Linked DNA regions of Schizosaccharomyces pombe. The protein of the gene in region 2 purifies or fractionates together with the protein of the main gene of each other region. This does not show direct contact. Each region holds a gene or a part of one and is shown on either strand. Other genes may lie near its edges.

Region 1 (4,805 bases), on a different chromosome or scaffold from region 2:
CAGGAGCTCTTAAATTCACAGCTACAGCCAGCAGAGATATGGTTACCTCAGTTATTGGAATTGCCTAGCAAACACTGTAGTTGGCTTGAAAGTGCTCCACTTCGTCTTCAAGCGTATGCCAACTTTTCCAAGCAAATGCCAGAGTTTGGAACAGAGGTATTAGAATATTTTCGTTTGAGTGACCGGTTATCGAAGAGATTGATTTCTGTAGATTATGATTATGCTACAGTCTGCGAAACGTTGGATAGCAAATTTTCTAACTGGAATTTACCGCACAGGCTAGTACTATGGACTTTACGGTGTATGAAAAATTTAAACAATATTACAGCTACCAGTTTCCTCTTAATGCATGTAAGTCTATTCTTAGGTAGTCCTATGAACTTGCAGCCGGTGGAACCTACGCAAGAGGACATTGCCAGCGTTTCTCGTTTTATAGCGACAATATATTCGATATGTATGTTGATATTCAGTGAAGACAAGGAACAGTCTTCTATTAGTTTTCAGGAATTTGTTTCATTCAGCCCTCTATCAAGCACTTTAAACTTTGCTTTATTTCACCAAGCAGCAAGTAAGCTGAAGACAGGTAAAAGCCCACTAAGCATTGTTACAGATAAAACTACTGCCTCATTAACCTATAAAATGTACAAAGACCTCACGAACGATTACTCTGATATTTACATGATAATGGATATTTGGAAACCAAAAAGGAAACGCAAGACTAAAAAAGATCAATCATAGATATACATTTTTGTCACATGAATTACAATCAAACAAAATTTTTTGGGAAACACGTTATAAAATTAATGAATTAAATTCAAAACATATATCGAATACTTTTAAACCGTAAAAATTAAAAGAAGCAATTGGCTTGCATAAACCTTTTTTTTCAACCTCATTATAATATGCGACAAACTATTAACAAATACATATATTCTATCGATTGGAATATCCGTTTGGCATTGAAACACCGGGTGGGGCATTTAAATTAGAGGACTCCGACGTATTGTATGAGCCTGGTGCACCAGGGGGAGCTGTTGCACCAGGTATACCAGGCATAGCAGGAACAGCGGGATATCCAGGAAATGGTGCGGGCATGCCAGGAGGCAAAGCCATTCCAGGTGGAACCATGGGTGGTTGAGACATATTCAGGTTCGGCATACCAGGCGCCCCAGGAATTGGTGGCAGAGGCACACCAGGAGGAGCGAATGTAGTAGGTGGAAGGGGAGCAGAAGTACCAGGGATGAATGGCGCATTTTGTGAAGGTACTAAATTAGAAGGCTGTACAGCGGACTGTTGAGTTGGCTGCTGCCAAGGAGGTAGTGAACTTGGATTCATAGAAAGGGCAGGGGCAGATTGTGGAGCAGCAGGTTGCTGCCAAGGGGCTGGATTTGAAGGGGCGGCTGATGAAGCTGGTTTGGCCCAAGGAGCAGGACTAGAAGTGCTGCTAGATACCGAAGTAGACGCAGCAGCCCAAGGTGGAGGGTGACCTGCTTGAGGACTAGCAGCTCCACTTTCGGAAAATTCAATAGATTTTTGGGGTTCACCATTACCATTGGAAATAGCCGATCCCCCACCAAGCTCTTGCATAAGACTTTGATATTCCCGATCAGCAGTAGAATCAGCCATTGGAGGTTGTTGATCTCTAACAGGACAGTCGCGAGCAATATGGCCAATACTTCCGCAATGCCTACAAACAATGTTCATTGTGTGATTGATACGTTCAGGACAATCGAAACGACGATGACCCACGTTACCGCAATTTTGGCAAACCTGATTTTCATCGTCTCGTAAAGTACCATTAAGAGTAGCAAGCTGACGAAGTTGATTTCTTTTTAAGTCGTTTTGGCCTTCTGGAACAGAAGCGGCCGTTTGGATAACATTATCAATTAGTTTTATGGCATGGTTAATTTTATCTTCAGAGTCTGCGGTAACAAGGCAGTGTAAATCTTCTTCCATATTACCTCGGACAGATGGATCGCTTCTTCCTTTTCCTTCTTTAACACTTCCTTTACCACGAATAGCAATTTTGGCTCCAGATTTTGCTTCCATATCCTTCAAAGTGTGGCCACGAGGACCGATCAGGAGGCCGATGAAATTAATCTCTGGATAATCCTTAACGGGAACGTAAACCTTCTCTTGTGTTTTTGCAGGTCTTCTATAATCACTGGGAGCACGAAAGCCTGGCACCATTTTCATTGCGCGCTCAATAATCCGGTGACGCTCATCCTCTAGCTTTTTCTTGTAACGGATTTCTCGAGTATTCAATCGGCGACCATGGTTATCGTATTGCGGAGGAGGAGAAGGGGACCGTTCACGGTGATGAGGAACAACATCACCGGTTCTAAGCTTTTGCGTAATTTCTTCCAATCGAACATTCAAAGAGTATAATTCTAATTGCTCCATAGTCATACAGGATTTAACGGCAGTTTCCAGCTCCATTTGGCTTGGTAACATTTCCTCAATCGGGGTTGGATGACCCCAATAATGTTTTCTATAAGCTCGACGACCTCGACCATCGTGATAGCCATCCGGTCTATGATCCATTCTGGAATTGCTTTTATAAGAATCGCGATAACCATTACTCATTCCATTTGCATCAGGCAATGGTGGTAAAGAATCTGGTTTTTCGTCAAACCGCCTCCTTCCTAAGGGAGTATTATTCGAACCTAAAAATATTAATAATTTGCACTAATAATCTCTTAAAACACTTACCAGTAGACCCTACTGACCTTGAATTCAGCATTTTAATAAGACTGCTAGATCGAAGACGGGCGTTGGTTCTTGGTGAAAAGTAACGACTGAAATGTAGGAGGCAAGGAGGCAATAAAGTAACGGACGAAACTGAAGATACGACACGTTTGAGACAAACGAGTGCAATAACCGTCTCGCTAAAAAAGAATTAAATGTATAATTACTTGAATAAATTTTCAAATGAGACTATTCAGTCAATGATAAGTTCAACCGAAATTTTTTTTTTCTAACAATACAGCAAGCAGTTCTTGCACTTGTTTCGATATTCAGTTATTGATCTTAAATCGGTTTAGTGTATCTCTATTCATTGCGCTAAATAAATCTAACGTACTTTATTATAAACAGCTTTAAGCATCATTGCAATTTGGATTTACAGAAACGAGACTGGCGGATTACGGCTTAGATATGATATGGAAACATTCATCTTTCTTAAAAAATAATCAGACAATGATGGAGAGTTCCACCTCTGTTTGGTAGGGTAAAGCGTTGATTCTTCTTTTTTTTTGCGATTAAAACATACTTTAGAGTTCGCTAAATAATAATTCAAGCATCAAAGTTAAGCGAATAGGAATTGTAAAAGAGAATATTGTAATATTATATTGTAATACCAGTATACAGGCATATCCTTATTTTGTATCGAACAATAGATAGGAGGTTTTTAGAGGGTGAGTAATGCTCAAGAATAAGTCAGTAGAAAAATTTTTGATATTTTTCTGAATTTGGTTCATAATTAGATGGAAGTGCAAACTCTTATTGCCCATGACCATTTTGTTGAGCTTGGGTTGGAATTATAGCGAAATCCAGCAAGGTTTACATTGAGAAACCAGAATCGAAATTAAAAGAAATTGGTTTTGGAATGATAAATAGTACTTATGTTTTAGTTGATAATGAGAAACATTTTTGTAAAACAGGCTGCGGGCATACAATCTTTTTTTCATATTCCAAGCGACATTCCACCACTCGGCATGCAAGCCTTCCTTATCTGATCAGATAATTTGCCTAGAGAAAAATTTACTCATGAAGAAAAATAAGGATTCAGTGTGTTTAGTGCTTTGTTTAAATTCTATTAATTTAATTCTTTACTATCAAACTCAAAAATGCATGATACCATAACATCTTAGGAACATTGGAAAGGATCTGATTTTCATTAAGAAACGTTTTTGCCAAATGTTCATACAACTCCAATATGACCCGTTTTACTGTGTGAAAGAAGCAGAGTCAGGATCGTAATTTTTTCGTAAATGAATCAAGCTGCTTGCATTTTATCAAACCACAGAACCTAGTGTGAAAGTTCGAATTTGGGGAATACCGCACTTCACCATATGCTGAAAAAAGTCGTTAACAAAAATTGATTCCAAAAGATGTCCGGTACGCTGAGTGATCGAAACAACCGGCTCGTTAGAAAGGCATTCCAGTAACTCGTTAGATCTCTTATAAAAATTTGATTCCCAATTTTTTTACGGCTCGTTCCGTCTGTTTCATCCATTTCCCACATTCATTCGCATTTTGGTATTGAGCCGTTAGTTGATATAATTCTGGATTTTTCGTTTGGTAAGACGCTAATGCATCTTTAAGTTTTGGTTGGGTTAATTTAAACTAATTATCTGAAATTTATAGTTATCATTCCATTTTTTCGGTCGACTGCGAAAATATTTACTTTTGTCGTTTTATAGATAGCTTGGATTGTATTTGTTGGGAATCAATTTAGATAAATATTTTGGATAGTCTTTGGTGCATTGTCGAATTTTCTCAATTCTGTTTTGGATTTCCAATTTTAACACAGTTCAGCTTCATCGATATTCATTCTTTTTTTTCGGTTCAATTTTGCAAATACGCTACATATTATCATAATAATGCCAATTTCTAGTCATTCTCATAGTGGGCAGTATGTTTGCTTTTAATTTGTAAACAAGCGATACATGTTGATGTGTTTGCCTGAGATTTTACAGATGAATTTTTTTTTTCTTTTATTCAGTGACAAACCACTAACTTTTATTGAAGATTTTGTTTGCATGCCCAGGGCAAACTAGAAGATGTAATTCAGGAAGCCATAC
Region 2 (3,481 bases):
ACTATTATTGATTTTCCTTTAGGAATCTTCACTACTAATGCAAGTTCTCGAGATAATTTTCTAAAACATTCAAGTTTGTTTCAAGTAATGAACACAGCCATTTTCACCATTGATTGTCTGAATCCTTTGGAAGGTCTTGATGGAATATCTTCCATTTTACAATTGATGAATGGCTTATCTATTTCAAGCTATATGTTTGCTATCACTAAGATGGATGAAATTGAGTGGGATGAAAATAAATTCATTAATCTTGTTAACTCGATTCAGAGCTTTCTGAAAGAAAGTTGCGGAATAATTGAGAAATCAAAATTCATTCCGATAAGCGGACTAAAAGGAACCAATCTTACATCCATTAGTCAAGAAAAATTATCCCAGTGGTATAAATCTGATACATTGCTTGGCAAAATTGATAAAGAAGCAGATACAAATCATGGCACATGGAATTTTCTTCTTAATCTACCTCTCTCTTTAACAATTTCACACATTACTCCTTTGCCAGAAAATCAATCACATATTTACTGTAGCATCCATTCAGGCATGCTTCAGGATTCGCAAAAGCTTTATGTAGGCACAGGGAGATTAGAAACACAAATCACAGGTACGGAAGGTGTTCAATTATTTTATGTTAATCAAAAAAGGACTGAGCAGTGATGAAAATCCCAAAGGGTTTAATGTTGCTGGGGATATGATTCAAGCCAAAATCCCTACATTACCCAATTTATGGTAAGTTCTTTGCAATTCTTGTATTTCTAATAAATAGTCCTGGGATTTTAATTGCTGATAGTATCGATGCCTTTACTTCTTCGAAAACTGCTTACGTTAATGCAACTTGGTTTCACGGTTCTCTTGAAAAAGGAAAGTCGATGCATGTAATAGCCCTATTCGGCTGTCACGCAGTCCTTACCAAACTGTATTGCTTTACAGACAGTCAAGAAAAAGCTCCTAACGCAATCGGAAACGATCTTGAAAGAAATCGAACCTCACTTGTGAAAATTGAATTAGAGAATGCTTTCCCTCTCGTAAAAGAAAGCTACATTAACACCTTAAGCCGCGTTTTATTCGTTTCAGAAAAATGGAATAGCTTAATTGCGTTTGGAACAGTACTATCTCTGCATGACTGAATCCCTAACTTACGTATTATACTCAACTCCATATTAATTTTGCATTCGAAAAAATTTTCCGTCCTTTTTAAAGAAATTCTCTATAGATTGTTTTAAATATTGTAAAACTACCGATGTTGTTCATTTGCGTACATCTCAGGCATCGTGACATTTGGAAACAATTTGTTCTCGAGTAAATTTCCTGAGCAAAAAAAAGGAATGTGCTGTGTTAAGAATAATTTATCTTTTTTTCTTTTGAATCGTTGGCACATCAGTCTAATAACAGTAACTACTTATTCTTGATATTTTCCAAATTCGAATATAATTAGGGAAATACAAGGGAATATCTGTATATCGGATAGTTGTAAGCTACGCAGTTTGGTATCTGATTTAAGGATACGTAGAACTGTGGTGAGTTTTCCTTGTGATCTATTATATTACAATACACAGGTTATATAAGTAGCAACTGAGTATAGGTATTGTATTAACTGGGTTATAATGTTACCTATCACTAATATAGCTCATAACTGAACTGAGGAACGAGGTTCAGCAGTAGCTCTATTTATAGTATTCAGATAATATAGATCTTAATAGATTATCATTAAGATCAATCTCCATATCGTATCATACATGGTACGATATATAATTAGAACATGTGACATATAGTGATACGCAACGTAGTGTATCATAGCGTAGTGTAGTACTGCTGACAATAGTGTGCAAGAATAATTTAGAAAATTTGCGTAACTTAACGAGATGTTGCACGCCACCATTATAAGACTAGAATCATGTTGGATCACTTTATTTCATAACCACCATATAAAAATGGCAAGTCATTTGGCAAGTATTTATGGTACTGAGCAAGATAAAGTCAATTGCTCATTCTATTATAAAATAGGAGCTTGTAGACATGGGGAACGCTGCTCTCGTAAACATGTCAAACCAAATTTTAGTCAAACGATCTTATGTCCCAACATGTATAAAAACCCAATTCATGAACCAAATGGCAAAAAGTTCACGCAGCGTGAACTTGCAGAACAATTTGATGCATTCTACGAGGACATGTTTTGTGAGTTTTCAAAATACGGTGAAGTTGAACAATTAGTCGTCTGTGACAATGTTGGAGATCACTTAGTCGGAAATGTTTATGTAAGATTCAAGTATGAAGAGTCTGCCCAAAATGCTATTGATGATTTAAATTCCCGATGGTATTCCCAAAGACCAGTCTACGCCGAGTTATCTCCTGTAACTGATTTTCGCGAGGCATGTTGCCGGCAACACGAAACTTCGGAATGTCAGCGGGGTGGCCTTTGTAATTTTATGCATGCCAAAAAACCAAGTCCTCAGCTTTTACGCGATTTGGTACTAGCACAAAGAAAGTATTTGGCCTTAAATGCAGCAGAAGAAATGAAAAAGGAGCCCAATAGTGATTCCACGAATCGATGGGTCAGTGTAACTGCTGAACGCAAAAATTAAATAGCAACTTATGGAATGTATTTGTTTTGGATTCTGGTTTGCTTTTGTACGGTTTTACTTCGTTTATTATGATTAATCTCTGGCTATAGTTTGTTGTGATTTAGGTTATTTAAATAGATGTTGCATTCTTTTATTGTTTACTAATAAACTTGATCTTTGTACAACTGTACTCATAGACGTTTTAAATTTTGTGTCCAATGTGCCTATGGCTGATTACAAGCTAAAGGAGATCGATTAGAAACATATGAAACGATCAAACATTTCGCAAAACTTGCACAGCAATTCTTAAAAACGAAGGTGTTATTGGTAGAAGCTGTGTACGATATAAGAAAAAAAAAACAAAAAAAAATAAATAGAACCCGTATTTAAGCCAAAATTGTTCAGTTGTTGTATGTTACGAAAAAATAAGTTTCAAAAATTAAAAAAATTAAAACTGCTGAATATAACATTTATATGTCTTAATTACTTTTTTGGTTTTGACGGCGAGCACGGACAGCTTCAGCAAGATCGTCTAGCATTGGAGCAGTTTGTTCCCAGCTAACACAAGCATCAGTGATACTGACACCGTACTTGAGAGTATCCTTAACGCCAGGACGGATTGGAGCATCTTGACGACCTTCATTGATATGAGATTCAATCATAACACCAACAATGGAAGAGTCGCCATTTCTGATTTGTTCGGCGATGCTCTTGGAGACCTTTGGTTGGTTCAAATGATTCTTGCTTGAGTTGCCATGAGAGCAATCGATCATGATACGAGGAGGAAGGTTGGCCTTCTCAAGATCTTTGCGAACGGCGGCAACGTGCTCAGCATCATAGTTAGGACCCTTCTTACCACCACGCAAAATGATGAAGGTATCCTTGTTGCCCCTGGTCATGGTAATAGCGGCGAGACCTTGTTTAGT

The links.
Region 1: the proteins of uaf2 (region 2) and bpb1 purify together in Schizosaccharomyces pombe (affinity purification with western blotting; one study listed by BioGRID). This does not show direct contact.

Annotation. Positions count from the first base shown.
Region 1 is NC_003421.2:555,463-560,267, forward strand, and holds bpb1 (zinc finger-splicing factor Bpb1), read right to left. Parts: upstream 2,787-4,805; 5' UTR 2,744-2,786; coding exon 2,713-2,743; exon of another isoform or gene 2,667-2,712; coding exon 934-2,666; 3' UTR 779-933; downstream 1-778. Other genes in the region: XP-G family protein ast1, read left to right, coding at 1-738; SPOM_SPCC1672.01 (histidinol-phosphatase), read left to right, coding at 4,605-4,636, 4,753-4,805. UniProt on the Schizosaccharomyces pombe protein: Necessary for the splicing of pre-mRNA. The BPB1(SF1)-u2af59-u2af23 complex has a role in the recognition of the branch site (5'-UACUAAC-3'), the pyrimidine tract and the 3'-splice site at the 3'-end of introns.
Region 2 is NC_003424.3:5,323,686-5,327,166, forward strand, and holds uaf2 (U2 auxiliary factor small subunit Uaf2), read left to right. Parts: upstream 1-1,908; 5' UTR 1,909-1,925; coding exon 1,926-2,576; 3' UTR 2,577-2,750; downstream 2,751-3,481. Other genes in the region: ski7 (ski complex-interacting GTPase), read left to right, coding at 1-598, 639-723, 761-1,121; SPOM_SPAP8A3.07C (phospho-2-dehydro-3-deoxyheptonate aldolase), read right to left, coding at 3,035-3,481.